4 linked regions of the Canis lupus familiaris genome follow. The protein of the gene in region 2 purifies or fractionates together with the protein of the main gene of each other region. This does not show direct contact. Links are inferred from orthologs where the notes say so. Each region holds a gene or a part of one and is shown on either strand. Other genes may lie near its edges.

What was found.
Region 1: the proteins of TSEN2 (region 2) and TSEN15 purify together in Homo sapiens (affinity purification with mass spectrometry; 4 studies listed by BioGRID and IntAct, counting the BioPlex papers as one, with this or other methods). This does not show direct contact. The link is inferred for Canis lupus familiaris from reciprocal best matches to the Homo sapiens genes TSEN2 and TSEN15.
Region 3: the proteins of TSEN2 (region 2) and CLP1 purify together in Homo sapiens (affinity purification with mass spectrometry; 3 studies listed by BioGRID and IntAct, counting the BioPlex papers as one, with this or other methods). This does not show direct contact. The link is inferred for Canis lupus familiaris from reciprocal best matches to the Homo sapiens genes TSEN2 and CLP1.
Region 4: the proteins of TSEN2 (region 2) and TSEN34 purify together in Homo sapiens (affinity purification with mass spectrometry; 3 studies listed by BioGRID and IntAct, counting the BioPlex papers as one, with this or other methods). This does not show direct contact. The link is inferred for Canis lupus familiaris from reciprocal best matches to the Homo sapiens genes TSEN2 and TSEN34.

What each region holds. Positions count from the first base shown.
Region 1 is NC_049228.1:17,239,203-17,246,624, reverse strand, and holds part of TSEN15 (tRNA-splicing endonuclease subunit Sen15), read right to left. Parts: intron 5,217-7,422; coding exon 5,135-5,216; intron 4,859-5,134; coding exon 4,723-4,858; intron 1-4,722. UniProt on the Homo sapiens protein: Non-catalytic subunit of the tRNA-splicing endonuclease complex, a complex responsible for identification and cleavage of the splice sites in pre-tRNA. It cleaves pre-tRNA at the 5' and 3' splice sites to release the intron.
Region 2 is NC_049241.1:6,156,359-6,163,780, forward strand, and holds part of TSEN2 (tRNA-splicing endonuclease subunit Sen2), read right to left. Parts: intron 7,205-7,422; exon of another isoform or gene 7,059-7,204; intron 7,001-7,058; exon of another isoform or gene 6,855-7,000; intron 2,676-6,854; 5' UTR 2,663-2,675; coding exon 2,474-2,662; intron 1,178-2,473; coding exon 1,096-1,177; intron 1-1,095.
Region 3 is NC_049239.1:38,995,593-39,003,514, reverse strand, and holds CLP1 (polyribonucleotide 5'-hydroxyl-kinase Clp1), read left to right. Parts: upstream 1-2,928; 5' UTR 2,929-3,255; exon of another isoform or gene 3,256-3,304; intron 3,305-4,000; 5' UTR 4,001-4,022; coding exon 4,023-4,628; intron 4,629-5,020; coding exon 5,021-5,692; 3' UTR 5,693-6,147; downstream 6,148-7,922. UniProt on the Homo sapiens protein: Polynucleotide kinase that can phosphorylate the 5'-hydroxyl groups of double-stranded RNA (dsRNA), single-stranded RNA (ssRNA), double-stranded DNA (dsDNA) and double-stranded DNA:RNA hybrids. dsRNA is phosphorylated more efficiently than dsDNA, and the RNA component of a DNA:RNA hybrid is phosphorylated more efficiently than the DNA component.
Region 4 is NC_049222.1:103,777,857-103,785,254, reverse strand, and holds the end of TSEN34 (tRNA-splicing endonuclease subunit Sen34), read left to right. Parts: intron 1-190; 5' UTR 191-194; coding exon 195-437; intron 438-667; coding exon 668-911; intron 912-1,060; coding exon 1,061-1,318; intron 1,319-4,476; exon of another isoform or gene 4,477-4,620; intron 4,621-4,817; coding exon 4,818-5,005; 3' UTR 5,006-5,315; downstream 5,316-7,398. UniProt on the Homo sapiens protein: Constitutes one of the two catalytic subunit of the tRNA-splicing endonuclease complex, a complex responsible for identification and cleavage of the splice sites in pre-tRNA. It cleaves pre-tRNA at the 5'- and 3'-splice sites to release the intron.

The sequences.
Region 1 (7,422 bases), on a different chromosome or scaffold from region 2:
TATTGATAGGACACTCTGGAAAAGACAAAACTACAGGAATTGATGACTGAGGAGCACGAGGGAAGTTTGGGGGGGAACTGTGTATTGGTTACATGACTATATACATTTATTAAAAACTCACATGTCTGTCTCCCTAAAATGAGTGTTTTTACTGTATATAAATTTTACTTCAATAAGCCTAACTTAAAAAAATAAAAAGACACAATGAGGGTTCCTGGGTGGCTCAGTCCATTAAGTGCATGTCTTCTGCTCAGGTCATGATCCCAGAGTCCTAGGATCAAGCCCTACATTGGCTCCCTGCTTAGTAGGGAGTCTGCTTCTCCCTCTCCTTCTGCTCCTCTCCCCTGCTTCTTCTTTCTCTAATAAATAAAATCTATTTTTTAAAAAGGCACAAATAAACTACAGAGAAACACAAGGAAATTATTTTTATAAAAAGTATGAATAATAGTTACTTTGGTGGGAAAGAGAGGGTTATGCTTGGAATAGAGCACATAGAAGGGGTTTTATTTTATTTTATCTATACATTTTTATTGGGTGGTTTTCTGTATCTGGTTTTATTTTACAATAAAAGATTTAAGAATAAACAACATGTTGGCGAGGATGTGGTGAAAAGGGAACCCTTGTACCGTGTTGGTGGTGTAAATTGGTGCAGTTAGTATGGAAGACAGTATGAAGCTTCCTCAAAAAATTAAAAATAGAAATACCATAGGACTCAGTAATTCTACTACTGGGTATTTACCCAAAGAAAATGAAAACACTAATTCAAAAAGATATTTGCGCCCTATGTCTACTGCAGCATTATTTATAATAGCCAAGATAGGTAGACAACCCAAGTGTCCATCAATAGATGAATGGATAAAGATATGTCTGTGTATGTGTGTATAATATATATATATGTATATATGGTATATATACATATATATATGGTGGAACATTATTCAGTCATAAAAAAGAATGAAATCTTGGTATTCATAACAATATTGGTGAACCTAAAAGACAGCATGCTAACTGAAATAAGCCAGAAAAAGATAAATGCCGTATGATTTCACTTAAATGTGGAATCTAAAAAATAAAACAAACATAAACCCAGAAATAGACTTATAAATAGAGAACAAGCTGGTGGTTGCCAGAGAGACAGAGGTGGAGGAATGGGTGAAATAGGTGAAAGGGATTAAGAGGTACAAAACTTCCAGTAATAAATAAATCATAGAGTATGAAAAGTACAACATAGAGAGTTGACAACATTGACAGTTATAGTCAATAACATTATAACAACTTTGGTGACACATGGTAACTACATTTATTGTGGTGAACATTTTTTAATGTATACAACTATTGAATCACTATGTTGTGCCCCAGAAATTTACATAATACTATATGTTAACTATACTTCAATAAGAAAAAAAACTTTTATTTTTTAAATTTTTTTAAAGATTTTATTTGTTTATGATAGACATAAAGAGAGAGAGAGAGGCAGAGACACAGGCAGAGGGAGAGGCAGGCTCCATGCCGGGAGCCTGACGTGGGACTCGATCCCGGGGATCCAGGATCGCGCCCTGGGCCAAAGGCAGGCGCTAAACCACTGAGCCACCCAGGGATCCCCAAGAAAAAACTTTTAAAATGCTAATGAAAATAGAAAAAGAACTCTTAACAGCTATCAGACTTTGTTGTCTACTATGAGGCCTTGGTGCAACTCACTTAATCCTGCATTATCTTTTGGAAACAATATAGTATAAATGAAAATACATTTTTAATCTCAGCTTTTTATATGTGAAATTAGATAAAAGAAGTACCCTATAAACCATTCAGAACTTTAGAGCTGATGAAATGAGAATACACTTAGGAATGTACTTTGAAATATTATAACATTGTAACAAAGGCAAAATACTCTTACAACCACATGAAATAATCTACAGTATCACTCCTCTGCCTTAAGCCTTAAAGTGGCACCATCCACATAGCAGTAATTTTTGGTATTTTTTGTGGAAATCCAGGGCTCAACAGACATACTTTAGGTACAAGGAATTGTGTATACTGTACAGATTGTGCTTTGCACGAGAATACTTGGTACAAGTGGGTCTGAAATCCAGCTTATGCTACTTGCCAAGCCTTCAACCCTGGTGAAGAGACTTTGTTTCTTTCCTTCCTTCTTTTCCTTTTTTTTTTTTTTTTTGGTAAAATTTTATTATTTATTTGAGAGAGAGAAAAAGAGAGAGAGAGAGAGAGAGAGAGAGAGAAGCAAGCTCCCCACTGAGCAGGGAGCCTGATGCAGGGCTTGATCCCAGGATCCCAGGATCATGACCTGAGCCAAAGGCAGATGTTTAACTGACTGTGTCACCCAGGTGCCCCGGTATGTCTCTTTCTAATTCACTCAAAGGTACCCTCTGAGCTAGCTGTAGCCCTGTTCAAAGATTCCCCCATAAGCTAATACCTTCTGTCACACAATAGCAACGTAAAATGTCTGAAAAGCTTCTGCATCGTTAAGACGAACCACAAATAAGCACATTTAAATTTCTATGTCCTTGGTTACAAGCAGATTTGAGTCATTTGAGTTCCTTTTCTGTGAATTGCCTGTTTCTGTCCATGTTTTTTTGTTGGGTTGTTTTTCCTTGAGTCACAGAAGTTATTTATATACTATGAATTAATTATTGTCAGTTATATGTCAATAAATCCCTTCTTCTACTCTATGAAAACTTATTGTGATACTATAAACCCATAACCTTTAAGACAGCAATTTAGTAACAACCAGTAAAGAGGAAGGTGCAAATTCTTTAAGTCCCAGCCATTCCACGTCTAGACTTCCACCTTAGAGAAACTCTCATACATAAGAATAAAGATATACATATAAGACTATTCACTATAGTATAATTTTTAATAGCAAAACATTGAAATCAGTGAAGGCTTTATGATCTAGGTAATCTTTCCCACCTCATTTCCCATCCTCCCCTATTTTCCCATGAGTTCTATTTACTCATATGTTCATTAGCTGCCTCACCCAACATTATAAAGCACCTGCTCTGAACTAGACATGCTACAGGCAGGCAATCATGCTTAACTACTTAGTAGTCGTCCTGCTAAAACATGGTCTCTTACTAACTTCAGGAGGTTTTTCCTGTCCTTCCTCTGCTACAGTCTTCTATAAAGTACTTACTGGTGCTCCATTATCCTTTTATTCAATTACCTAACAATAAAATAAGTGGAGGCAGTCCCAAATTACACAGTTAATTAGGTCTCAGAACAAAGGAGAATTCTCTTTTTATTAGATCCATTCAATAATTACCAAAAAATGAAATAAAATTTATTTTCCAAGTCAACATTTAGTGCTAAGAACACTACTTTCAAGAGGATGCCTTAAATACCATGTGATCTCATTTATATGTGGAATCTCAAAAAAAAAAAAATTCATAGATACAGAAAACAGATTGGTGGTTGTCAGAGGCAGGGGCTGGAGAATGGGCAAAATGGGTTAAAGGAGTCAAAAGGCACAAACTTCCAGTTATAAAATAAATAACATATGGGGATATAATGTACAGCACGGCAACTAGTTTGTAACACTGCATATTTGAAAGTGACTGAGAGAGTAGACCTTTAAAGTTCTCATCACAAGAAAAATTCTGTAACTTTGTATAGTGACAAATCTTCACTAGACTTGTGATGATCATTTCATACTATATACAAATACCAAATCATTATATTATACACCTGAAACGTAGTATGTCATATGTCACTTATACCTAAAAAGGTAGTTGTCTTTATCAACACAGTATCTCCAGCACTTAGATCACTGACTCATAATAGTCACTCAATAAATGTTTGGTTAAGTAAAGACTAAAAAGCCTCAGCAATATTATCTGACAAATAGTGCAAGTGAGAGAGAGTGTCCAAGGCAGAAGCCACAGTCTTTGGTTAATGTCATCTCAGAAGTAACATCCCATCATTTTTGCCGAATTTTATTTGTTAAAAGCAAGTCAGCAAGTATAGACCACACTCAAGGAAGAGGAATTACGCAAGGGTGGGCCTACTATTAGTTTTGTTTTGCAGGGTTGATTTGGAGAACGTGTCATGAAATAAAGATATGTTTAATCCAATTCGGTGTAGCTAAGAGTTTTTAAAAAGATACCATGAACTGCAAGACATTTTCTTTGATTTCAAGTTGCATGTTAAGCACACTCTTCATCAACATCTATAGCAAATATAAATTGTATCAATTATTATGGTACATCTTAAAATATCTGTGTTTCAAGTGTAATGGTCTTGCTTCCTTATGAGAATGAAAACATTGTTTCCTTTAGGATAGTATTTCTATTTTTTTTAATTATTTTTTAAATTTTTATTTATTTATGATAGTCACAGAGAGAGAGAGAGAGGCAGAGACACAGGCAGAGGGAGAAGCACGCTCCATGCACCGGGAGCCTGATGTGGGATTCGATCCCGGGTCTCCAGGATCACGCCCTGGGCCAAAGGCAGGCGCCAAACCGCTGCACCACCCAGGGATCCAGATAGTATTTCTATTATATATATCCCTTCTCTGAAAAAGTACTGACAATATAGTGAGTACTAAATACTTGTTAAATGCTCATATTGAACTACTTCCTCAAATAACCAAGAGTAAAGCTATGATCCCTGTACCTTACATTCCTTTAAAAATATATTACTACCTCAAATTTAATGGTTCCTAGTAGAAAGGAACTAACCTGTTAAAGACCAAAATCACCTGCCCACCTGTTATGGCTGAGGGAAGCACTGATGGATGTAGGCACCACAGTCTGTAATCCTTCTCCTTCTATCTCAGTACCGACAAGGCAGATGAGCTGAAGATCTGGTAATCCAACACAATTTACTTCATGCCAACTTTTACCTGAAAGGGCATCATTGAATGGATAATGTTTATCAAAGATAAAAGATAAAATTCTAAATTTCTACCTAATATTCCGCTGAACAAACATCACCCATAATGTTATCTTGTCTTTACTCTTCCAGTATTTTGTTATCCAATAAAATTCCCAATGTAAATGAATGAATAAGTTACAAAACTGACAAAATTAATAGCAAATGCATAAATGCCATATCCCAACCCAACTCCCCATTTCCCCACCATAGCCCCAATAGCAAAACAATAAAACAAATAACTTACTCTCCATGAGGTCCAGGTAAACCAAGAATGCTATATAAACTTGGCTGGCATCTCCTATATCTAATTCCATCATTTCTAAATACTGGAAATCAAAAGGTAATTGTCAGAGAAGAATCTCTTAATATTTTCTTTCACTCAATCAACAACGATTCACTAAATATATATATATATATATATATATATATATAATATAAAGTAGAAGACTCTCTTCCAGGTATAATGTGAGTTAGAAGGCCTGATCTCTGTCTCTAAAAAACTTGTGTTTTTTTTTTAAAAGATTTTATTTATTTTATTTATTTACTCATGAGAGGGATCCCTGGGTGGCGCAGCGGTTTAGCGCCTGCCTTTGGCCCAGGGCACGATCCTGGAGACCCGGGATCGAATCCCACATCGGGCTCCCGGTGCATGGAGCCTGCTTCTCCCTCTGCCTGTGTCTCTGCCTCTCTCTCCTCTCTCTCTCTCTCTCTCTGTGACTATCATAAAAAAATAAAAATTAAAAAAAAAAAGATTTTATTTACTCATGAGAGACACAGAGAGAGACAGAGAGAGAGAGGCAGACACAGGCAGAAGGAGAAGCAGGCTCCATGCAGGGAGCCCAACATGGGACTCGATCCCGGGACTCCAGGATCCTGCCCTGGGCCTAAGGCAGGCACTAAACCGCTGAGCCACCCAGGGATCACCCCAAACTTGTGACTGTTAAGGTAAACACATGCACACTTCACAACTGTTGGGCAATTAACAACCCATGATGGTTAAGTGATTAAAAACCAGTGTGTGAAATAAAAAACAAAAACAAAAAAACATGACATAAGAAATCAGAGGAGCTCTACTGGGATAGCTTGGTTGGTGAATGTTTCATGGCAGAAGTGGACACAGATTGGGCCCTGAAGGGCAGATATGATTTGAGTGAATAGAGAAGACAGGGTAACGGTGTGGGAGTAGAGGTGGGTGTAGGCCACACATACTCAGGGCCTAGAGAATAGTCTATCTGCCAGGAGCACAGACACTTCTTAACAGGGTTTCTGTGCTAGCACATTAGTGAGAGCCACCATTTCCGTGTACTCTGTTTGCCTTTGAAGAAAGTCAGCTAAAATATCCCTCCTGGCTTCTGTCTGATTTGTGCTTGGGTCAGCACTGGAGAACATTCTTCAGTGGACTCCCACTGCAAGGGAAGCCTGAGGTTTCCCAGCTATCCAGCGACTCAGTGGGTAAGCAGGCCTAATGCAGACTTAGTGGGTAAGCAGGCCTAATGCAGAGGTGAGGCATCAGCAGACCTGCATGGGTGCAGACCTGCAGTCATCCTCTCCAGCTTCATTGTAAGTATGTACAGGGCAGGAGAACAGGGGTATTGCTAGTTGTCTTCCTCACATCTCAAATGTGTTTTAAAATAACACTGAAAAGGTAACTGGAGACCAGGTTACAAGGTCTTGACACCCAAGCTAAAAGCCTGAATTTTACCCGTAAAGAAACACTGAGGATTTCTAAGCATAATAGAACGAAATTAATGTTGCATACTATATACACTATTTCTTACATATATTACATAGAGCTTAGTACGTCAAGTGCTTTACAAATATTAACTGATTTAATCCTGTAACAACCCTCTCCGGTAAGAACTATTATTATCCCCATTTTACAGATGAGAAAACTGAGAAACAATGAGATTTTAAAACTCCACACACACACACGCACCCAAAAAATCACAAAGCTAGTGACCTAACAGGGTTTCCAACTCAAGCAGTGTATTCAAAGTCTCGGGCAGAACTACTGGGTTCATGCTTCTTAAACGTGTTACGGTTCTTCTTTTTTATGGCACCGAAAAACGTATCCATGTTTGTTTTCCTTCACCTTGATGGGGGGAATAAGGGGTTAGAGGAGGAGAATAAAATCAAGAAAGAGAACCTTGAAAAGGGATTGACTCTTTTCAGACTTACACCTTCGGAAATTTCCTTTTGACTTTTTTTTTTTTTAAAGATTTTATTTATTCATGATAGACATAGAGAGAGAGCGAGAGAGGCAGAGACACAGGAGGAGGGAGAAGCATGGAGCATGCAGGGAGCCCGACGCGGGACTCGATCCCAGGTCTCTAGGATCACGCCCTGGGCTGAAGGGGGCGCTAAGCCGCCGAGCCACGCGGGCTGCCCTTGACTTGTTTTTAGATAATGGTCTATGAACTACTGCTTGCTCCCCGGCAGAGGACTCCCTTCGTACTCAAGGAACCCGACCAGTCTGAGATTTCCTACAAAAGCCCCGTCTCCATTCACTGGCCCGTTACTGGTCCAGGGCAG
Region 2 (7,422 bases):
CAGGATGAAATTTGGATGCATGCCACAACACGGATGACCCTTGAAAACGTCCGAAGTGGAAGACACAAAAGGCTTCACAATGTATGATTCCACTTACATGAAATATCTAGAATGGGCAACCTTATAAGCACAGAAAACATATTAAAGTGACCAGGGGTTGGCGGGGGAGGAGGATTGATGGGGGAAAAAAAGCAAATCTATACATAATTTTGCTCGGCATTGCTAAATTCCCCTCTGTAACAGTTGTACCATCTGCATTCCCATCCGTAGTATATGGAGAGTATTTCTCTGGACCTCCCCAAGGAGACTACTGTCAAACTTTTGGATTCTTGCCAATCTGATTGCTAAAATAGTATCTTAGTGCAGTTTTAATTTGTATTTTTTTCTTACAAAAATCCTAAGGATGTTTTAGTCTGCTGGCATTGGTTATGCAATCACCATGAGACTTCCACAGACTAATACATGAAGGTAAAATATTTTTAAGTTAAATATGGCAAGTCAAGCAAGTAAGAACTACACACATTAGCTAATGTTTTAACAAATTCATTATTACGGTTATCGTTATAAATTCTAATTCTAGGGCAGCCCCAGTGGCTCAGTGGTTTAGCGCCGCCTTCAGCCCAGGGTGTGATCCTGGAGACCCGGGATCGAGTCCCACGTTGGGCTCCCTGCATGGAGCCTGCTTCTCCCTCTGCCTGTGTCTCTGCCTCTCTCTGTGTGTCTCTTATGAATAAACAAAATCTTTAAAAAAAATAAAAATAAATAAATTCTAATTCTAGAAATAAAAAATGTAAAACTTATTTGCATATGGTACCTTCTGCATGCATAGTACTCTGCTAGTCAACGTTCAACAACAGAAAAGCCTGAATAATACTTTTGATGACTCCAGAAATTAGATAGAACGTGTTTTCACCAAACATCAGAACCCTATTCTGGTTGCTAGTTTTAGGAGTAAAATCGTCATTGTGCATGTTACTTCAAGTCTAGAGAATTTTCCTATAACATTTTCAAGAATTTTCCTATGTAATCTGAAATGTAAGATCAAAGATGAAAGAATATAATTTGCCAAAAGGACAGAATGAGGTACAAGGTTACCTTTCCACTTAGCAACGAGCTTAGGATCTGAAATTGTGAAGTTTGGACGGCTTCTAGACAGGATACCTTTTCCAAAATAACCCTTCCAGGAAAAGAGAAAACAAAGTTAGTTCATGTTTAGTTCGCCAATTTTTTAGCTGAGGGAAAACAACTATTTGAGTTAACAACAGATTTGTTCTATTTTTCATAGGTTTACATTTTCCCTCTGATTACTTAATGATTACTAACGAAGATCTTAGCATTCATCTCTGATTGTTTGAAGAGTTCTAGTAAGTTTTCAGTATACCTTAAGTGCCTTATAACTAAGCTCAAGGCAATGGGACAGGTAGAGGCAGGGCCTTAGCCTAGACCCCCATCACCAGGAATCAATGCCACATGCTGTATTCCACCTTGAGAAACTGGCTACAACATATATATTTTATATAAAGTGTCTAGAAAGGCACATTTTAGAGAGGAAGTGGATCAGTGGGTGACATGGGCTGGAAGTGGGAACAGGGATTAAGTGCAATGGTACTTGCATTCCCTGCTGGGAATCCCCCATACTGGACCATGATGGTGTTGCACAACTCTATGAATTTATTACAATCACTGAATTGCACATTTACAATGGGTGAATTTTATGACGCTAAATTATACATCAATAAAGCTATTTAAAAAATGCCCCAGTTGGAGCACTTGGCTGGCTCAGTTGATATAGCATGTGACTCTTGATCTCGAGGTTGTGAGTTCGAGCCCCATGCTGGGGGTAGAGATTACTTTAAAAAAAAAAAAAAAAAATATATATATATATATATATAATAAAGTAATGAACTGGCTATGGACCAAAAAATAAAATAAAATAAAATAAAAAAAGCAAGCTATCAATCTCAACCTGAATCTATCATTGGTGGAAAACAGCAAAAACTGGAAATTGTCCTTATCTAAGAAGAGGTCGCCAAACAGATGAGAGCACAGATAACAAGTCAGAGTACATGCTGAAGCCTCATCTGTCCCTGAGCCAGAACAATATGCCATTCTGTGTTTATCTCTGGAGATGGAATGGGAGTGGGGAGTTTTTACCCATTACATTTCTGTAAATTGCTTGGCATATTTATGAATATGCATGGTTTCTGTAACTTAAAAACAAGAAAGGCCAATGCACTGATTGCAGTTTATTGTTGAAATGTGGGTTCATGGGTTGGGGAGCCTTCCTCATCAGTATATGGCTTCAGGGCACCTGATTCAAATTGTGTAGTTCCTCTCCTACATGGGATTGAATGGCAATAAAAGAATATGGGTCAATTATGGTCTGATTTTGGGAGTGAATGGGAGGAAACAAAAAGGATACCCTGGCTCAGGACTGTCAGGAAGTAGCCATGCCAAAGCCGCCAGTACTTACTTTCCCATAGAGCTGCTCCATATCTTCTGTGTTCCTCACAATTACATTGTTGTTTATCATCTCTGCTGTGAACACTTTGAAATCTTGCTTAGGCCCACAGTCTTGACCAAAAGGGATGGGCAGTGGAGACTCAAAACTCTCATATACTCTTCTTTTCCGCTTTGGGGCACGGAAAACTGCTTCTGCCATTTCTCAGGGGTAACTGTTTTTTAAAGAGTATAATAAGGAGAAAGAAACAGATAGCCAATCCATAACTATATTGATCAAAAACAGGGGTGCATTTATCTCTAGGCTCAGAAAATTTTGTGGTCTGTGGGAAAAATAAAATATTTAAAAGCAGTGAACTAGAAGAAAGAGTAATGAGAACATTTTGTACAAGCACTACTAATCCATCACCTAAAATATCTCAATTCTCACAACCATGCCCAAGAAGTCAGTGGCAATATTTCTAACTAGAGTGGACAAGACTGAGGCCTAGTGTCATGCCCAAAGTCATCATGCCATGCAAAAGTCTATGGACAGCAAGCACAATAGGATTCCTATTAGGATTACTCCCATTCTTTCACTCAAACAACAGGCATTTACTGAGTACCTACTAGGACCTTCTGATAATCAGAGATGCTGGGGATATAAAGATAAGGCCAAAAGAGACACTGTCCTCATAGAATTAAATCTATTCAGTATTTCCTTTTCCAAAAAAGGACCTTAATATATATTCTAAAGGCCATTCATCTCTCCATGTTTAAGGTAAATTAATAACAACAATGACAGAAACAGTTACCATTTCAGGTCTGTTATGTACCACCACATACTAGTGGTGAAGAGCAGGAACTCTAAAGCCAGAGTGCCAGGACTGGAATTAGTTTTACTATGTCCTGTGTGATGCTGGGCAAAAGCTGCTTAATCTCTCTATGCTTTGGTTTCCTTATCTACAAAATAAGGATAAAAACAGACTCTACCTTAGAGTTAAGACCCCCCATAAAGGGCCTAGAAGAGTACCTGGTACATAATGAGCATCATGTGTGTATTTGCTTTAATTATTATTATGGGGTGAGCACTACCAACTCTGGTTTACAGGTGAGGAAAATAGGTTCAAGTTAGAGAGACTTTGTAAAAGGCCCCTTGGGATGATCCCAGGTCTGCTGAATTCCAAAGCCTCCACTCTTCTCCCTGGGTTCTGCTGCAAGGCAGCATCTGACCCACTTTGTCTGAAGGCCCACTATTTCTCAAGGTTAGGAGCTAAAGGATTCTGGATAATTATGGGATTACTTAGCGTGCACTCAGCACCCTGAGGAAGTAAAGGAAGCCAAAGCCAGTACCTCTCCCTTCCAGGCCTTATATTCAATCTGAGGAGACAAAACAAGCACATAACACATACGAAAGCAAACTGAAGGTACCACAACAGGCTGCAATTCCATAATGGCTAAAGGAAGGAAATGAAGTTGAGTGCATTGTGCGATAAAGAAACAAAGCCCCAGCAGATACATCTAACTTAGGAAAACTCAACCACATGCAAGGGGGAGAAAGTGTACACAGTGCAAGAGTCTGGGCCAGGCACTCCACTCTTCCAACAGACACCCCAGGATGAGAAGGGAGGCTTGAATCTGCTGCTCCTTCGTCCCGGGTTCAATTTAAGCTGACAGCAGATCTGGTGTTTGAAGATACAGTGGAGCCATATTACACGTTTCATCTACATGGATCCAGAAAATGAAGTAAGACTGCTTATTAAAATGCCTCCTGCACTTAATACCAGCATCTATTGGGCAATGGATGTCACCAAGCCTGAAACAGCCAGTGACAATGGCCAAATCCTGAGGAAGGTAAGTGGTTGTATGGGTTTATGACCATTAAAAAGAAATAAAATATCTTGCCTTGCCCATTGTGTGATACCTTTATCTGCCCTCTCAAAGAAACGGAGGAATTAGATGAGGACAAAGGAAAACACAGACCAAGGAAGAGTTATAGAAATTGATAAATCAAGTACAAAGATAACTATGAAAAAGAAGAATCAGCAAGTTGGAACCTTCATAGACTTGACTAAGTATGCTAAGCAGCAAAACACTAGAATTTAATTTTTAAGTAAGATCCCTCAAGGGAATTACATACTGAGCATGACTCATATATACATTATATATACACACACACACTGCTGTAAAGCATTCCTAACAAAACCACGTATGTTGCACATTAACGAACAATTAAGAGATTTTCTTCCAAGAGCATTTTAGCTAAACTGTCATTTGCCAACTTATCCTTCAATCTAAGCCAATGATTGCATTTAGTATTCAACAGAAGAAACAGCAATTTATTCTAACACTTGATGCCGTGTCAGCTTTTTTGAGGCAGATGATGCAATCTAGTGAAAAACTTTCTAGGCATTTCCAGGAACAAGTTGGACTTTTATGAGATTTTTCACTTTTATAACTTAACTTCTGGTTAGGATTTAACTTGTATATGCTACATTTGGAATTTTAAGAAAAGAGAAAATGTTAAATGGCTAACTTCAAGAACTTCCAATTAAATTATCTCAAACAAGTGACAATGAAGTTATATTTTAATTTGCCTAGTTTGGAATTTTCCCTCAGACTGATGCTATACTCTTAAAAATACCAAGAATGAGCTAGGACACTTGATGTCAAGAACTTTGTACTTCAACCTGTATGTGTGTGACAGAAAGGTTCCTGCCACAAAACATTGTTTTCCATTAAACCTCAAAGTCTGTGATCTGGTGTTACTTTTGCCCATGTGGCAGAACAGGCTTCAAGAATTTGGCTGATAGGTGGGGCAAGATGGCGGAAGAGTAGGGTCCCCAAGTCACCTGTCCCCACCAAATTACCAAGAATTTGGCTGATAGGCCTCCAATATATGCAAACCTGCCATCATTATCATGTGACCTTGCACAACCCACTTAAGCTCTCTGAGCCCTGTTTCTTCATCTTCAAATTGAACAGCACTGGAAAAGTCTGGAAGTCATTCAGATGTTAAATGCAAAATACCCATATAATTCCAGTCCTTGGTACAGATACAAGAAAACTGAAAACATGTTCATGCAAAAATCTGTACCTGAATGTTTACAGTAGTATGATTTATAATAGTTAAAAAAAGCAGTAACAAACCAAATGTCCATCAACAGATGAATGGATTAAAAAAATTGTGATGTATCCATATAGAATGGATTATCAGCAACAAAGGAAGTGTTGATATATGCTACAGTGTGTATGAAGCTTGAAAGCATTAAGTGAAAGCAGTCACAAAAGACCACATATTGTATAAGACCGTTAATATGAAAAGTCCACAACAGCAAATCCATAGAGACACAAAGTAGATTAGTGACTGCCAGCTGCTGAATGAAGGGAGAAATGCGGAGTGACTGCTAATAGGTATGGATTTTTTTTTTTTTTTGAGGGTGATGAAAATGTTTTAAAACCAGAGTGCAGTGATGATGTGATGGCTGACCAACTCTGTGAATATACTAACATTACTGAATTGTACATTTTACAAGGGTGAGCTTTTTTTAGATTGATTTCATTCATTCATTCATTCATTCATTCATTCATTCATTCATTCATGAGAGACACAGAGAGAGAGAAAAGCAGGGACATAAGCAGAGGGAGAAGCAGGCTCCATGCAGGAAGCCTGATGTGGGACTTGATCCCAGGACACTGGGATCATGCCCTGAGCCAAAGGCAGACTCTCAACCACTGAGCCACCCAGGGGTCCCCTACAAGGGTGAGTTTTATGTATGTGTAACGGTCTCTCAATAAAGCTGTTATTTTAAAAATTCAGTAGGACAAACCAAACGATCTTGTTTCATGGTTTTGTGAAGGAGTTGTCTTGTACTAGACTTGAAAGGCAAAGAGGGGAGAAAGGAATGAATTCACTATTCTCCATATCTGCAGTAGGCATTTACGACACGTTTCTTTAGTGCCATGATAGGAGAACAGCATAATGTCAAGGTATGGCATGAGTAAATTGAGAAGAGGTAATCATCATCCATGGGTACAACATGCTAGGCACTGACTGTGCTATATGGTACACAGATGGGTACTGGCATCCTCTTTCACAAACAAGGAAGAGAGGGCCAGTTATTTGCCCAAAGCTCCACTGTACAGAGACACAGCATTGCAAGAAGTCTGGCCTAAAAGACCACCCATGTCTGAAGCACACACACAGATGTGTAGGTATGACTGAGCCAGTTGTCAAGGGGTTTGGAACATGAAAGCTGGTTTAGACTTGGAGTTGATGCAGAGACTCTCAAGCAGGGAACACGACTGAAATAAGATTAATTAACCTGGGGTGGTATACAACAGTGGCTCTCAAGCTTGGCTGCCCTTAGAATCACCTGGGGGAAATCTCAAAACTCCTAACGCTCAGAACTTACCTGCAATTACATCAGAAATTCTGGGGTGGGACCCAGGTGATCTTAACATGTAGTCACACAGCTGCCAACTACTGGTGACAGAATAGCCGATTCAAACTCACTCCCAACAGCTCCCTAGGGGCCGAGTGCTATGCACCTGTAAAGGATGTAGCTTTTCCTTTCCCAAACGCTGGGGGCGGGGGCGGGGGCCGGCGGCATACTTGCCTCCAAATACAAGTAGCATTAGGTCCATTTACTTTACTATGAAAAATAGGGCTTGGGCAGCCGGGTGGCTCAGCGGTTTAGCGCCGCCTTCAGCCCAGGGCGTGATCCTGGAGACCCGGGATCGAGTCCCACGTCGGGCTTCCTGCGTGGAACCTGCTTCTCCCTCTGCCTGTGTCTCTCTCTCTCTCTGTGCCTCTCATGAATAAATACAATCTTAAAAAAGAAAAAAAAAAAGGGCTTATGTTTCCCTTGAACACACAAGCTAACACCGTTCAGGTGCTCAGCAAACGTTTATTCCAAGCAAAACAAAAACGGGAGAGGGAACTCCATTTAATTTTCCGACCCCCTGGAAGGACCTTGCCAA
Region 3 (7,922 bases), on a different chromosome or scaffold from region 2:
TTTCGCATGTAAGGAAGGGAAGCGTAGGTCAATGGTAGGTAATGGGAAGCATTGCTAGCTGGGTATGAAAAAATATAAGGAATTCTGAAGATTTAACCAAGGAAGATTCTGGGGTTGAAGATAAATTCTGAAACACAGTGCAGGTGCCTTGAGTGATATTATCAGAGGTTTGGAACTAAGAGGGAGACTTGGGTAAAGAAGGAAGTGTTTCTGTACGGGCAGTGGATGAGAGAGGAAAGGTAAGCAGAGGAGGGATTTGAGGAACTATTCTTGAGGAAAACAATGGGAAGTGGGAAAAAATGTAGGTGAGTAGTCCTTAAGGCAAGGATGGAAAGTTTGGAAGCAGAAAAGGGATGCCAATTAATTTAACTCAGGAAGAAAATGATCAAGGGTTTAGTTGGTGAGAATGAAAAAGACATGAGGACAGTCTTCTTTGGGGGGTGTGGAGATGGCAGGAATGCTTGGTGTAAGATGACAAGGGAGAAAAGGAGTGCAGGCAAGCCTAGATGCTGTAAATACTGTGCCCTCACTCTGTTTAAGAAGTAAGTTGGAGGGGATCCCTGGGTGGCGCAGCAGTTTGGCGCCTGCCTTTGGCCCAGGGCGTGATCCTGAAGACCCGGGATCGAATCCCATGTCAGGCTCCCGGTGCATGGAGCCTGCTTCTCCCTCTGCCTGTGTCTCTGCCTCTCTCTCTCTCTCTGTGTGATGTGACTATCATAAATAAATAAAAATTAAAAAAAATAAAGAAGTGAGTTGGAGGGACGCCTTGACTGGCTCACTAGGTGAAGTATGGGACTCCTGATCTCCGCGCTGTGAGTCAGAGTCCCATATTGAAGGTAGACATTACTTTATTTAAAAATAAGTGAAATGGGAGATAGTCTAAAGGCGGGGAGAGGTTTCTTTTCCCTAAATTCAGCTTGAGATGGCTGCACAAATAAGCCAAATAAAGATGACCTTCAGATAATTGGGAGAAATTGCCTCAAGGGAGAGAGTGTGGAGGCGAAGAAAGAGATCTGGGAAATAGACTGCTGGGAAAGAGGAGAGGCTGAGCTCATTCAGGGAGGGAATTTGCAAACAGAAGCCTGGAACTGAATTTTTGAAGGATGGTGAATGGTTACGGGATACCTGAGAGTTCACAGGAGAACTAACGCATGTGTGGTGAACGAATGAATTAAAGTAAACCATCAAGGACTAAGCCGTAGAAAGTGAGGATGGCACTGCCTGCTGACAGAATGAGTGTGAAGGTAAGAGTGGGTGTGAAAGAGCCAACCCAGAAAATTGTCCCAGGCTTCTTGATCCCGAGTAACCATGAGAGCCGGACTGAAGAAAGTACTCATCTATAAAGAGGGGGTGACAATTATAGTATGTGTTTCATAGGGTTCCTGAGAGGATTACATGAATTTACACCTGCAAAGCTCATTGAACAGTACCTGGCATCTAACACTACCTGTTTGCTATCATGATAACTGGACTCGGACTCCCAAATCCTGAGTTTGAGTCCTAACATGGGCAAATCCCTTCCCCTGTCTCTGTCCTCCTTTGAAATTGGGAGATCATACCACTGACTTTACACGTTGGCTGAGAAAGAAAATACTGGAAAGGGCTTTAAAAAATTCAGACTGGGCAGCCCAGATGGCTCAGCGGTTTAGTGCCGCTTGCAGCCCAGGGCGTGATCCAGGAGACCCGGGATCGAGTCCCACGTCGGGCTCCCTGCATGGAGCCTGCTTCTCTCTCTGCCTGTGTCTCTGCCTTTCTCTCTGTGTCTCTCATGAATAAACAAATAAAATATTAAAAAAAATAAAAAATTGAAACTGCTGTGCATGTGGATGGCATTATAAGAGCTCCCCCTCCTCAACCTATAATAAAAACTCAAAAGCTAACGTCAGATGCTGTGTTACACTGTGTTACACTGTGCTTAGGACTTTACATGAGTCATCCATGCAATCTTTAAAACGACTTTAAGAGGTTGGGTACTGTTATTATCCCTGTTTTACAGACAAGAAACTGGGTCTCAGAGAGTTAGCCTGATTTGCCCAAAGCCACACAGCGAGAAAGTGGCCGAGCAGAGCACAGATTCCAAAGCCCAAGCTCGCGAGGCTGATGGATGCGGCCCCAACTGCTGCCTGCGGGGTAGGTGGGCGGCCTTGTACAACTGTTGGGAATTCAGGGAGGGAAACCGAGCCCCCCAAAGAAATCCCCGATCCGGAGGAGAGACGTTGTTGGGTAATGACTGGAAGGAATTCTTGGACGTTTAAGTGTTTTATTAAAACAAATTGTAGGGACGCCTGGGTGGCTCCGCGGTTGAGCGCCCGCCTTCAGCCCGGGGCGTGATCCTGGGGACCGGGGGTCGAGTCCCGCGTCGGGCTCCCTGCATGGAGCCTGCTTCTCCCTCTGCCTGCGTCTCTGCCTCTCTCTCTCTCTCCCTGTGTCTCTCATGAATAAATAAATAAAATATTAAGAAAAAATAAATTGCAACGCCGTCTCGGTGCCAAGCGCTGTCAGGGAGGGGACGACACCCAGGCCGGCCTCCTCCACCTGCCTTAGCCCAGACGTCCCCGGGTCCCACGAGGGGTTCCGAGGGATTCCGCTAATTCCGCGACCTCCTGGCTTGTGGACCAGGCAAGCCGACGGTCGTGGGACCCAGACGGCGAGCCGGCCCGCCTCCCCCTCCCCCCGCCGTCTCTCCCGGGCTGCAGGTGAGCTGGAACCTCGGGGGCGAGAGTCCCCTCCAGCCGCGCCCCGGCAACCATTGGCTCCTCCGCGGGTCCCCGCCTCGCGCGGGGCGTCACCGCATCCTACCCGCGGCTCGCCGTCTTCGCAAACAAGGACGCCGCCGCCCCGCCCACCTATGGCGTCACGATCAAAACAATCTTGTAACTACAACTCCCAGAAGGCCGCGCGGCTGCGCGAGCTCCGCCGCTGGAGGCAGTTCCGGCAAAACTACCGATCCCGATAGGCATCGCGCGGCCACTGTTCCCACTGTTCCTGCGTCGCGCCTGCGCAGAACCGCCTTTGTTTCCGGCGTGGATCCGGGCGGGCGCGGCGTGCCGTTGGGTTTAGGCGCTGTCGGGGGCTCCTCGGTTTGCCGGTTTGTGTTTGCGGCTGTGCAGGTGAGAGAACGGCCGGCGCTTTGGGACCAGGGCACGTTTCGGCGTCTCGGGGTGCTGGGACAGATGCTGGACTTACACTTGCGGTTCGCAGTCGGAAATCGTTGTTCACCACTCCTCGGTTCCTCGGCGTTTTCTAGTTGACGAAGTAATTCTTCTTCCCCTTCACCGATCCCCACAACACTTGGGGAGATCAGGTGATTTGTCTAACGACAGTAGTAGCAGATGCTGAGCGGGTTCTTAGGCTATTTTCTTTTCTTTTTTTAAGATTTTATTTATTTATTCATGAGAGGCACACAGAGAGAGGCAGAGACGCAGGCGGAGGGAGAAGCAGGCTCCCTGCAGGGAGCAGATGTGGGCCTCGATCCCTGGACTTCGGGATCACGACCTGAGCGGAAGGCAGATGCTCAACCCCTGAGCCAGCCAGCTAGGTGCCTCACCCCAGGCTATTTCCTAAGTCCGAACCCAGGGTTCTCTGCTTTGCATTCAGTTTGCAGACGCCCTTTCTTGTGGACTAAGAGAGCTGGGAGGGTATTTGTCTCCTTTTCAAGTCGAGTATCCCAATAGAGTGACGAAAGGAGCGATGGAAGTGATATAATCAAGTCTTAGGTCAATGTGTAGATATACTTTTCTAATGTATGAAAAGTATACATTTATTCAGTCGGTGTTTTTATGAGGTGCCTATGGGTTGTCGAGCCTTAGATACTGGAAGTAACAGCAGCAAACCAGACTGCCTAACCCTTACATTCCAGTGGGGGTAGACAGGCAAATGTATAGTGAGACGGGGTGATCACAGCTAAGGGGAAGAATGAGGGTAAGGAGAAATATCCAGGGGAGGATTTTGAGTAGTGTCCTAACTCCTGTTTCAGTCTGGTAATTAATTTGTGTTCTAGGCACAGCAACCACACAGAAAAGATGGGAGAGGAAGCCAATGACGACAAGAAGCCAACAACTAAATTTGAACTAGAGCGAGAAACAGAACTTCGCTTTGAGGTGGAGGCATCTCAGTCAGTTCAGTTGGAGCTGCTGGCTGGCATGGCAGAAATATTTGGCACAGAGCTGACCCGAAACAAGAAATTCACCTTTGATGCTGGTGCCAAGGTGGCTGTTTTCACTTGGCATGGTTGTTCTTTACAGCTGAGTGGCCGCACCGAGGTGGCTTATGTCTCCAAGGACACTCCTATGTTGCTTTATCTCAACACTCACACAGCCTTGGAGCAGATGAGGAGGCAGGCGGAGAAGGAAGAAGAGCGAGGTCCCCGGGTGATGGTCGTGGGCCCCACTGATGTGGGCAAGTCCACAGTGTGCCGTCTGCTGCTCAACTATGCAGTGCGTTTGGGCCGCCGTCCCACTTATGTGGAGCTGGATGTGGGCCAGGGGTCTGTTTCCATCCCTGGTACCATGGGGGCCCTCTACATTGAGCGGCCAGCAGATGTCGAAGAGGGATTCTCTATCCAGGCCCCTCTGGTGTATCATTTTGGCTCCACCACTCCTGGCACCAACATCAAGCTTTATAATAAGGTCAGAGCCAGAGTCAAGGTGGGATGGAGGGAAGGGCTGCTGTCAGGGTAGGAAGCTGTGCAAAAGTGTGCTAATTAAAACTGTCTATGGCCATTTCTTTGCTCCCTTTCAGCTGGGATTTCTGTCACATGACTTTGGAAGACAGTTTCAATTATGTCAATCTCAGGTTCTTAAATATTCCTGTGGCCCTGTTCTTAAGTAATGTACTAAATTTCTACTTAGGACACGAAACAGAAGAAGCAACATAAAATCGAAATCTGTGTTATGGGGTTAAAACCTTAGCCATTAAGAATGTCATTGTTTTCTGGTACCTAATAGCCACTTATTCTACATAACTATTGAGTTCTTTCGTTTTGTGTTTCCTTTCCTCACCTTGATGCTCTCTTCTGCAGATTACATCTCGTTTAGCGGATGTGTTCAATCAAAGGTGTGAAGTGAACCGAAGGGCCTCTGTGAGTGGCTGTGTCATTAACACCTGTGGCTGGGTCAAGGGTTCTGGGTATCAGGCCCTGGTGCATGCAGCCTCAGCCTTTGAGGTAGACGTGGTTGTGGTTCTGGATCAAGAACGACTGTACAATGAACTAAAACGGGACCTGCCTCACTTCGTCCGAACTGTGCTGCTCCCTAAATCAGGGGGTGTGGTTGAACGCTCCAAAGACTTCCGGCGGGAGTGTAGGGATGAGCGTATCCGTGAGTATTTCTATGGATTCCGGGGCTGTTTCTATCCCCATGCCTTCAATGTCAAATTTTCAGATGTGAAAATCTACAAAGTTGGGGCACCCACCATCCCAGACTCCTGTTTGCCTTTGGGTATGTCTCAGGAGGACAATCAGCTCAAGCTAGTACCAGTCACACCTGGACGAGATATGGTGCACCACCTTCTGAGTGTTAGCACTGCTGAGGGCACAGAGGAGAACCTTTCTGAGACCAGTGTGGCTGGCTTCATCGTGGTGACCAGTGTGGACCTGGAACATCAGGTGTTTACTGTTCTCTCTCCAGCCCCCCGCCCACTGCCTAAGAACTTCCTTCTCATCATGGATATCCGGTTCATGGATCTTAAGTAGAGACTGGTATGAAGCCTTGCTGCCTGGGGCATCGAGATCTTCTGGCCATCATGAAAGGCAAAAAAGTTGGGCTAAAGTATGAGACTCTGTTGAGGCCAAACAGACGAGTAAATAGTGAACTAGTAGAAAGCATATTTCTACCTCTTAAGATGGGTGGTGGGAGCCTAACTCTTCTGATCTTGAACCAAAAAGAACCAGGAGAACATAATTGGTTTCTTGGATCACCAAAGGTGCCGCTTTGTATTCTCCGAGGCCCTGGAGAATCGTATTTTTTCCACTATGCTACTTGGTGGACTAATTTTTAGGAGGAACTTTTTAAAAAATTATCACTGCTTTATATTCTGTACATAGTACTTGTTATTCCATTTATCCAAGATGAAAGATTGAATCAGAAGGCCTCTTTCTAGTAAAGTTCAAACTTGGGAAATTTTAATAAATATTTTTGCCATACCACAGAAGTTGGTATAATTTTTTTTTAATTTTGTTTTTCTCCCTAAGCATGATGGAAACATTATTGAAGTGAGTTATTGCTAAATGCTTCAAAGAAAGCCAAGGGCCCACCTTTGAGCCAAGCAGGTGAATTTTTATAATGGTTTTCCTTTCCTTGTAGGTAAATAGATGCTAAATCTGTTAATGCCAGGTTTACTTTGAGGAGCTACAGAGGCTGGTGATAAACTTGGATTGAGATTTCTGGTCTAATTATTTTCCATACATAGCTCATTTGCTCTCCGCTGCAGCTGTCTTTCCTATTGTCCTTCTGATTGGAACTGGGCCCCAGGTCAAGGTGTAAATTGAATTTTCGGGTGGTAAGAAGCTGGGAAAGAAAGCCCCATTCTCTTTGATTTCTTGCAAATGATTTGTGTTCCTAGTTTAGACTGGATTATTGAGTATTATCTGATACCCTTTGATTCATTCTTTCCACAAGTGTTTATTGAGCATATGCTATTGGCCAGGAACCATTCTAGATGGGGAACAAGATAGACAAAATCTTACAGAGCTTACATAGAATAAGCAGACAAAAAAGGTAAGTGCTATGTAAAGTTAAAATTGCGTGGTCTGAGACAGAGTGACTGGGAGGGTTAATTAGAACGGGTGGTCAGGAAAGGCCTCCCCTGAGCACATTTCACATTAAGATTTGAATGGCTGTGTGAAATTGGGACAACGTCTTGGTGGGGGAAACAGTTCAAAATCCTAAAAAAGGAAAAATATTGATGTATTTGATGAAGGGAAAGGGTGGTGTGGTGTACTGAGGGGTGAATGGTAAAAATTGAGGCTGGAGGGGGCAATAGGGACCAGATAATGTAGGGCTCTTATAATCTTAGAGCAGTGGCAAAGGATGGGAGAGGGGTGGTGTCTTAATTCCTTAATTCAGGCTGCTGTAACAATGCCAGACTGGGTAGCTTATAAACAGATTTCTCAGTTTTGGAGGCAGGAAAGTCCAAGGTCAAGGCATCAGCATGGTTGTGTTCTGATGATGGCTCTCTTTGGGGTTGCAGACTGCCTATTTCTAGCTATGTTCTCACATAGTAGAAGGAAGGGCCAGGGATCTACTGTGGAGCCTCTGTTGTAAAGACACTGATCCCACTCACACAAAGATTTTACATTCATAGTATCTAAGCACCTCTCAAAAGTCCCACCTCCTAATACCATTATCTTTGGGGCTTAGGACTTCAATATATGAATTTTAGGGTGACATATTCCAGCAAAGCAGGTGGTTAAATGGAGGAATGGCCTGATTTTGAAAAAAATCATTGCTGTGTAGAATATGGATGATAGATGGAAGAGTAGGAGCAAGGATATGTGAGACTTGTAGTTTCAATGTGAGAATTGATGGGATTAGACTAGCAGAGGTGGAGTAGGAGAGTAGATTGCCTTGGATCTTTTGGAGGTAAGATGGCACTTGCTGATGGGAGTGGTGAGGAAAAGAAAGTGGAATCAAAGCGGATTCCTGTAACTAGATTGGATATGAGATTGGGGAAACTCAGGGAGTTTCACTCAGGGATGAGGGAGTATCAAGAGTTCTACTTTAGCAGTATTAAGTTCTAGCTGTCTACCAGTTATCCATCTGGAGATGCTGTGTGAACACATGGAAACAAGAAGCTAGGCTTGGAGAAGTTAGGGGTGAAAATTCATGGGCACTATTGGCTTACAGATGGCTTTTTAAGACAGTAGTATTGAAGTCAGGGACTCTGTAAATGAAAATCAGGAGACAGATGGACTTTCAGGGCAC
Region 4 (7,398 bases), on a different chromosome or scaffold from region 2:
CGGCAGGGGGCGGGGCCTGGTGTGGAAAATTGGCAGGTGGCGAACGCGGCCCCGGCGAGGCTCCACCCCCCAGGCTCAGGGGCGGGGCGTCGCTGAGGCACCCCACCCCCCACCCCACCCCCACCCCCACCCCCACCTCCGCGGTGGGAGCACTCTGTCGGTGACCGCTGTGCCTCCCTGGCCCCCGCAGGAGGATGCTGGTGGTGGAGGTGGCGAACGGCCGCTCCCTGGTATGGGGGGCCGAGGCGGTGCAGGCACTGCGGGAGCGTCTGGGAGTAGGGGGCCGCACGGTGGGCGCCCTGCCCCGCGGGCCCCGCCAGAACTCGCGCCTGGGCCTCCCGCTGCTGCTGATGCCCGAAGAGGCGCGGCTTCTGGCCGAAATCGGCGCGGTGACCCTGGTCAGCGCCCCGCGCCCGGATCCGCGCCAACACAGCCTGGTAAGGGGCGGACGGGGTGGGGGCGGTGCAAACGCTCAGCACGTGGAGGCAGGACAGCCAGACTGCGGGTCTCTGCGGGAGGGGTCTGGGCGCCTTGGATTCTGGAGACTGGGATCCCCAGGTTCAGGCTTTGGGTTAGGGAGGAGTCAGGGAGCCAGGGAGCCAAGGTTCCTGGCTTCCTAAGGCAGGGCAGACTTGGATCCTGGGATTCCCGCCGCTTTACTTCTCAGGCTCTGGCATCCTTCAAACGCCAGCAAGAGCAGGGCTTCCAGGAGCAAAGCGCCCTGGCAGCGGAGGCCCGTGAGACTCGTCGTCAGGAACTCCTAGAGAAGATTGCAGAGGGCCAGGCTGCGAAGAAACAGAAGCTGGAGCAGGAATCGGTGGCCAGCGAGAGCCAGGAGGCCAGTGCGAACCCGGCTGCCGCAGAGAGTGAGGCCGGTGCGAGCCAGGCTCCTGGAGAGCCGGAGGAAGCAGGTGAGGGTGGGAGTGGAGTCCACGGACCAGGAGCAGGGGAGAGGGAGATCTTTTGGGAATCCTGGCTGGGAATCTAGGGCCTGGGGCTCATTGGGGGATGGGAAGACCTGTCCTTGGATGCATCAGACTCTTGCATTCACCTCCCGCAGGTTCCTCCTCTCCTCAGCCAGGGCCGTCAAATGGAGTGGCCCCTTTGCCCAGGTCGGCTCTGCTGGTCCAGCTGGCCACTGCTAGGCCTCGACCTATCAAGGCTAGGCCCCTGGATTGGCGTGTCCAGTCCAAAGACTGGCCGCATGCTGGCCGTCCTGCCCATGAGCTTCGCTATAGCATCTACAGAGACCTGTGGGAACGAGGCTTCTTCCTCAGTGCAGCTGGCAAGTTCGGGGGTGACTTCCTGGTCTATCCTGGTGAGTTTTGTTGGGACCTCTCCTTGTGAAAGAGACCTCCTTTTTCCTCAAAGCCCTCCCCTTTTTTCGCAAGCCTGCCACCTTTTTGTCTTTTCTCAGCCTCTGAAACCCATGGAAGGACAAGAACACTTGGGAACCATTTGAAGGGCAGTATAGTAAATCTAAGCACTTTCTTTGATCCAGAAGTTTCACTCAGAGACTCTTAGATATGTGCATAAAACGTACAAGGAATCATCACTGCAGGATTCCTTACGGTAGTGAAATATTAGAAAGCAACCAGAATGATTATTAATAGGTTAGTGGTTACACACTGGTGTTAGTTGTCAGAGTAATGTAGGTCCATGTACATTTATGAAAAAATGACCAAAGGGGGGGAAAAAGAACCACTTGTCGGAAACAGGTACAGTAAAAAGCACATTATGTTTTCTGTTGTGATGCAGTTATGTACGTGTTATTTGAGTAGCCTTAAAAATTATGCTCTAGGGGCATCTGGCTGGCTCTTCCGGTAGAGCATGCGACTTTTGACCTCAGGTTGTAGGTTCCAGCCCCATATTGGGTGAAGAGATTACTTAAAATCTTAAAAAAAATCCGTATGGCTCTAGTGAAAGAATATGAGAACTTATGGTGAAGTATGGAGTGGAAAGTAACTAGCAAGCAGAAGAAGGCCTGAAAGAACGTACTCCAGCCCAAGTACAGTGGTTACCTCTGAGAAGGAATGTGCATTGGGTGTAGGTAAAGGAGACTTTCAGTGTATTAGTTCATTTTTGAATTTGTAGTAAGAATGCCTTTATTGTGTAACTAAAAGGTTAAAAAAGTAAGTCTGCAGGCAAATCACCTTTTTTTGTTCCCCCTGAGAACGCAGAAGGATATAAACACCTGATACATAGTCAAATCTTAGCTGTTGGTTGGAGACCGACTGTGTCTTCTGCACACGAGCTGAGAACCTTCATCTCTTCTCAGACCAAACACTCAACTGAGGGACTGACTTAGGACAGACAGTGTACCTGCCCTGTGCTCTACAGAACCACTGTCCTTACTTTGCTGCTGGTTTTTTGTGACTTCTGTACATAAAAGGTGATTTTGGTTTTGAAAATGAGTATTCAGCTTACTGAACGTATGAAGGCTAATATCTAGTTTCTAAGCTTTCAGTTCAGGTTGCAAATCTTTCTTTCCAATCTAGCAGGTTTTTGTTTTGTTTTGTTTTGTTTTGTTTTAATTCATGAGAGACACAGAGACACAGGCAGAGGGAGAAGCAGGCTCCACACATGGAGCCCGATGTGGGACTCAATCCCAGGACCCCAGGATCACTCCCTGGGCCAAAGGCGCTAAACCACTGAGCCACCCAGGGATCCCCATCAATCTAGCAGATTTTGAGGGACTGTTTGTCCCTGTGTGATCCTACTCACAGAAGGCCTTATGTGGTTTTCAGCGTTAGAAGCTGCATTTTAAGTTTTAATGTATTTCTTTTCCTTTTTAAGTTGTGTGGTTTTCTGGTTATAGAACTTGCCAAAAACTCAGATCTAATACATTGCAAATGGGCTGAGTTTTAAGTTTACATGTTCTAATACGGTTAAGAGTCTTACTACAGGTTAAACTACAGGTTAAAATAAGGTTAAATCTGGGTCACCTGGGCAGCCTGGGTGGCTCAGCAGTTTAGCACCACCTTCAGCCCAGGGCGTGATCCCGGAGTTCTGGGATCGAGTCCCATGTCAAGCTCCCTGCATGGAGCCTGCTTCTCTCCCTCTGCCTGTATCTGTGTCTCTGTCTCTCTCTCTCTCTCATGAATAAATAAAATCTTAAAAAAATAAATTTGGAGCACCTGGGTGGCTCAGTTGGTAAAGCACCTGCCTTCAACTTGCATCATGATCTCAGGGTCCCGGGATTGAGTCCTGCAGCAGGCTCCCTGCTCAGTGGGGAGTCTGCTTCTCCCTCTCCCTCTACCCCCTGCTCATGCACGTGTGTGCGCTCTCTCTCTCTCTCTCTCATAAATAAAAAAAAAATTTTAAAAAGTAATAAAATAACAATGAAATAAGGTTAAATACACCAACAACTTAATCACACATTTGAAACTGGCCCACAAGGCTGACCTGTTAGGGTTTTTTTTTTTTTTAAGATTTTATTTATTTATTTATGAGAGACAGAAAGAGAGGCAGAGACATAGGCAGAGGGAGAAGCAGGCTCCTCGCAAGGAGCCCGATGTGGACTCGACCCAGACTCCGGGATCATGCCCTGAGTCAAAGGCAGATGCTCAACCACTCAGCCATCCAGGCATCCCTGACCTGTTCTATTACATCAATATTTCTAAAACAATACATACTTGATATATATGAGATATATATAAAATCCTTATTCCCTGAAGATGAAAATCTTCAAGGTCTGAATCCCTTAAATATTTCTAACAGTAAATCTTCCCAATCTTAAAAGACACTAAGTCTTTTAGAACAGTTTTGGGGTACCTTCTCAAGTGTTTTGATGCTTCCTTCTGAGCCGGCAGAGGTGTCACACCAGACAGTGATGCCTGGCTCCTGGCTGTGTTCTGGCTGGAAATCCAGCTAACAGTCCTCTCATGTGGGATATCTCACCGCTTTGCTCTTGTAGGTTTACATTACCTACCCCTTTATCTTCTGTATGGTACCCCACTCTGGTTCCTACTCTATTTGATCAGATTTACCTAATTCAGGGGCAGACCACAGCCCCAGGTCAAATGAAGTCCAACAGATTTTAAAGGTAAAGTTACCAGAATGCAGCCCTGTCCATTTGTTGACTTACGGTCTGTGGCTCCTGTTGTGCTACAGTGCAGAGGTGAGTACCTATAACATGGCCCACAAAATGGAGGATATTTAGTGTCTGGCCCTTTTCTGAAAAATTGTGTTAGCTCCTTTATCGCATCTATTTATCACTCCATCCTTTTGTAAATTCTTTTCTTCTTTTACTCTGTTAGAGTAAAGTAAAATTCTTGGATATTCACATGACATGGCTTTGACTGACTTTGTGGTCCTTGTTCTTACATCACGACAGTGATATATTCAATTAATTGTTTTGTTTTTTGAATACAATTATGCCATACATCTGTGGCAGTTTGCCCCACTTGCCCCTCCCCACGCGGGGTATTGTTTATTTTTCCATGTTGGTACATTCTTTTCATTTTAACAGCTATAATCGCTTCTCAGCCTTTTGGCTAAGATCAAGTGCATTTAAACAGCTATATTATATTTCGTCTTATGGAGAGACCACAAATTTAACAAGTCTGTGGTTTTGATTGTTTCCATTTCTTAGCAGTTGTAAATGATAACAGAGTGAACATCTTCATAGATATATTTTAGTGTCACTATCCTTATAAGTAAAAAATGCCAAAAAGTGGAACTGCTAGGTACAAGAAGAGCTATTTGGAAATATTCATAGTGATTACTAAAATGATTCCTGTCTCCTACCTTTAGACATTCCAGTGTCTTCTAGCCTTCTACCACTGGGAACTGCTACATGTCTCTCTTTTACCCAGGTGACCCACTTCGTTTCCACGCCCACTACATTGCTCAGTGCTGGGCTCCTGGGGACCCCATTCCACTCCAGGACCTGGTTTCTGCTGGCCGCCTGGGGACCAGCGTCAGAAAGACGCTGCTGCTCTGTTCCCCTCAGCCTGATGGTAAAGTGGTCTACACCTCCCTGCAGTGGGCCAGCCTACAGTGAACTCCAGAGACCCGTGGGGATGTGGCTGCATCTGTGGAAAGAGCCTTTCTAGATGGTCCCAAGCTCATCTCTGCAAATGGGAGGCTGTTAACCCTCCTACCTCTTTCTGCGGTTAGATTTTGACTCCGGATTTATAAACACTACATCCTTCTTATTTCCCTCCCTGTTTCAAAGCACTTATTGGCTGTGATATTTTTGTAGTTACCTATTTCCAAGCTGTGAGCTTCTTGAGGGTGAAGACTGGGTTTGATTCATCTCCAGTTTCTACAGGGCTTAGGGCCAAGAGGTCTCAGTAAACTTGTTGAATAAACGCGGAGTCTGTGTTTTGAATTCTGATGGCAATGGGGGGAGGGGGCAGTGTGGGTTTTTGCATTTGCTTATACAGAGGAGGGAATGCCTGGAGGAGTCCTGCTGCTAGTGGGTAGCCAGTGGGGCTGGGATTTATTTTTTAAGATTTTATTTATTCACGAGGGAGAGAGAGAGAGAGAGAGAGGCAGAGACACAGGCAGAGAAAGAAGCAGGCTCCATGCAGGGAGCCCGACATGGGACTCAATCCCGGGTCTCCAGGGTCACACCCTGGGCTAAAGGCAGGCGCTAAACCTCTGAGCCACCCAGGGATCCCCACATTAAAGGCTCTTAACAAAATCTACACTCTTTCATGATTAAAACAACAACAAAGAACAAACTGGGAATCAAGATTGCTTCCTTTACCTGATAAAGGGTCTCTATGGGGGATCCCTGGGTGGCGCAGCGGTTTGGCGCCTGCCTTTGGCCCAGGGCGTGATTCTGGAGACCCAGGATCAAATCCCACGTCGCGCTCCCGGTGCATGGAGCCTGCTTCTCCCTCTGCCTGTGTCTCTGCCTCTCTCTCTCTCTATGTGACTATCATAAATAAATAAAAATTAAAAAATAAATAAAAATAAAAATAAGCCCCTGAGCCACCAGGGCTGCCCAGGGGCTGGGATTTAAAACTCTTTCTTTCTTTCTTTCTTTCTTTCTTTCTTTCTGGGGTAGGGGAGTGGAGGGGGGGGGGGGGGGGAAGGGGGGAATGGACGGTGGAAGGGGAGACGGGGGAAGGGACGGGAAGGGGAAGGGGGAAGGGAAGGGAAGGGGACGGGGGAGAAGGAAGGGAAGGTGAAGTGGGGCGGTGGCACGGGAAGGGAACGGGGGGACGTTAAAGGGCAAATAAAGGGCCTGACCTGTGAATTTAAAGGACCGGGACTGGAAGTCAGGGGGGGGGTTCTTGGAACTTTTTCCTTTCCTTTTTCCTTTCCTTTTTCCTTTCCTTTTACCTTTCCTTTTTCCTTTCCTTTTTCCTTTCCTTTTTCCTTTCCTTTTTCCTTTCCTTTTTCCTTTCCTTTCCTTTCCTTTCCACCTGGTCTTTCTGAATCCAGGGTCTGCACTCTTCCCACCACACTGAACTTCCTTTAGAGAAGATTTTCACAGAGTGTTTCAGGTGCACACAAAGGCATAAATAAAAGTAACATGAAGAAAAGGCACATGAGTGTTGCAGTTTCAGGACAGAGGTTCAGGTGGGGAGGTAATGTCAGGAGGGACACTTGGGGCTGTGGAATGCTGCTGGTGGTTTTTTTCTTGGCCTGGGTGGTGTTTATTCAGGTGTGTAGCATTATTTTTTATACCATACGTTTATGATTCAGATCATTTTTTTATATGTGTGTTCTGTTCCACCCTTTCTTAAAAAGTGGAAACACATCCAAAGAAAATACACATTTGTGAGATGCCTTTCTGCTTGAAATATTGCTTGAACGTTATCAGTACTGACTTTCAATATTTACGTATATACTTTAAAAATGCATAGTTTGTTACATAGATTTTGTTACTGAAATACAGTCACATGGTAATGATTCTGGAGCTGAAAGTGTCTATCTCTAGTTTCCCAATGTCTGGGCTGCCAATTTCTTCTTTCTTTTCTATACTTCTCAGTAAACAAATTTGCTAGAACCTCATATTTCCTGTAAGCTTAGATTAATTTAAAACAGGACACTAATCCCTGCCTCATTAACACTCTGTTCTTTGTGCCTCTTTGATAACTGGCTTGCAAATCTATTCTCCAGGCTCTCTCTTCTCTACAACAAAGTACTTAGTTGACTCAGTACTGAGTACCTCTGTCTTGAGTCTTCCCTCAAAAATTCCTCATTAAAAACTTGGCACTTGGTGGGCCCAGTTAGTGGAGCATGCAGCTCTTGATCTCAGGGTCATGAGTTCAAGCTCCATGTCTAGGTCTACAGTTTACTTAACAACAACAACTTGTAAGGACTTCCACATGCAAAAGAAGAAAGAGAAGAAGGAAATGTAGACTTTATGCCCTTTACAAAAATTAACTCAAAATGGATCATAGACTTCAGTATAAAATGCAGAGCTATTTAACTCAT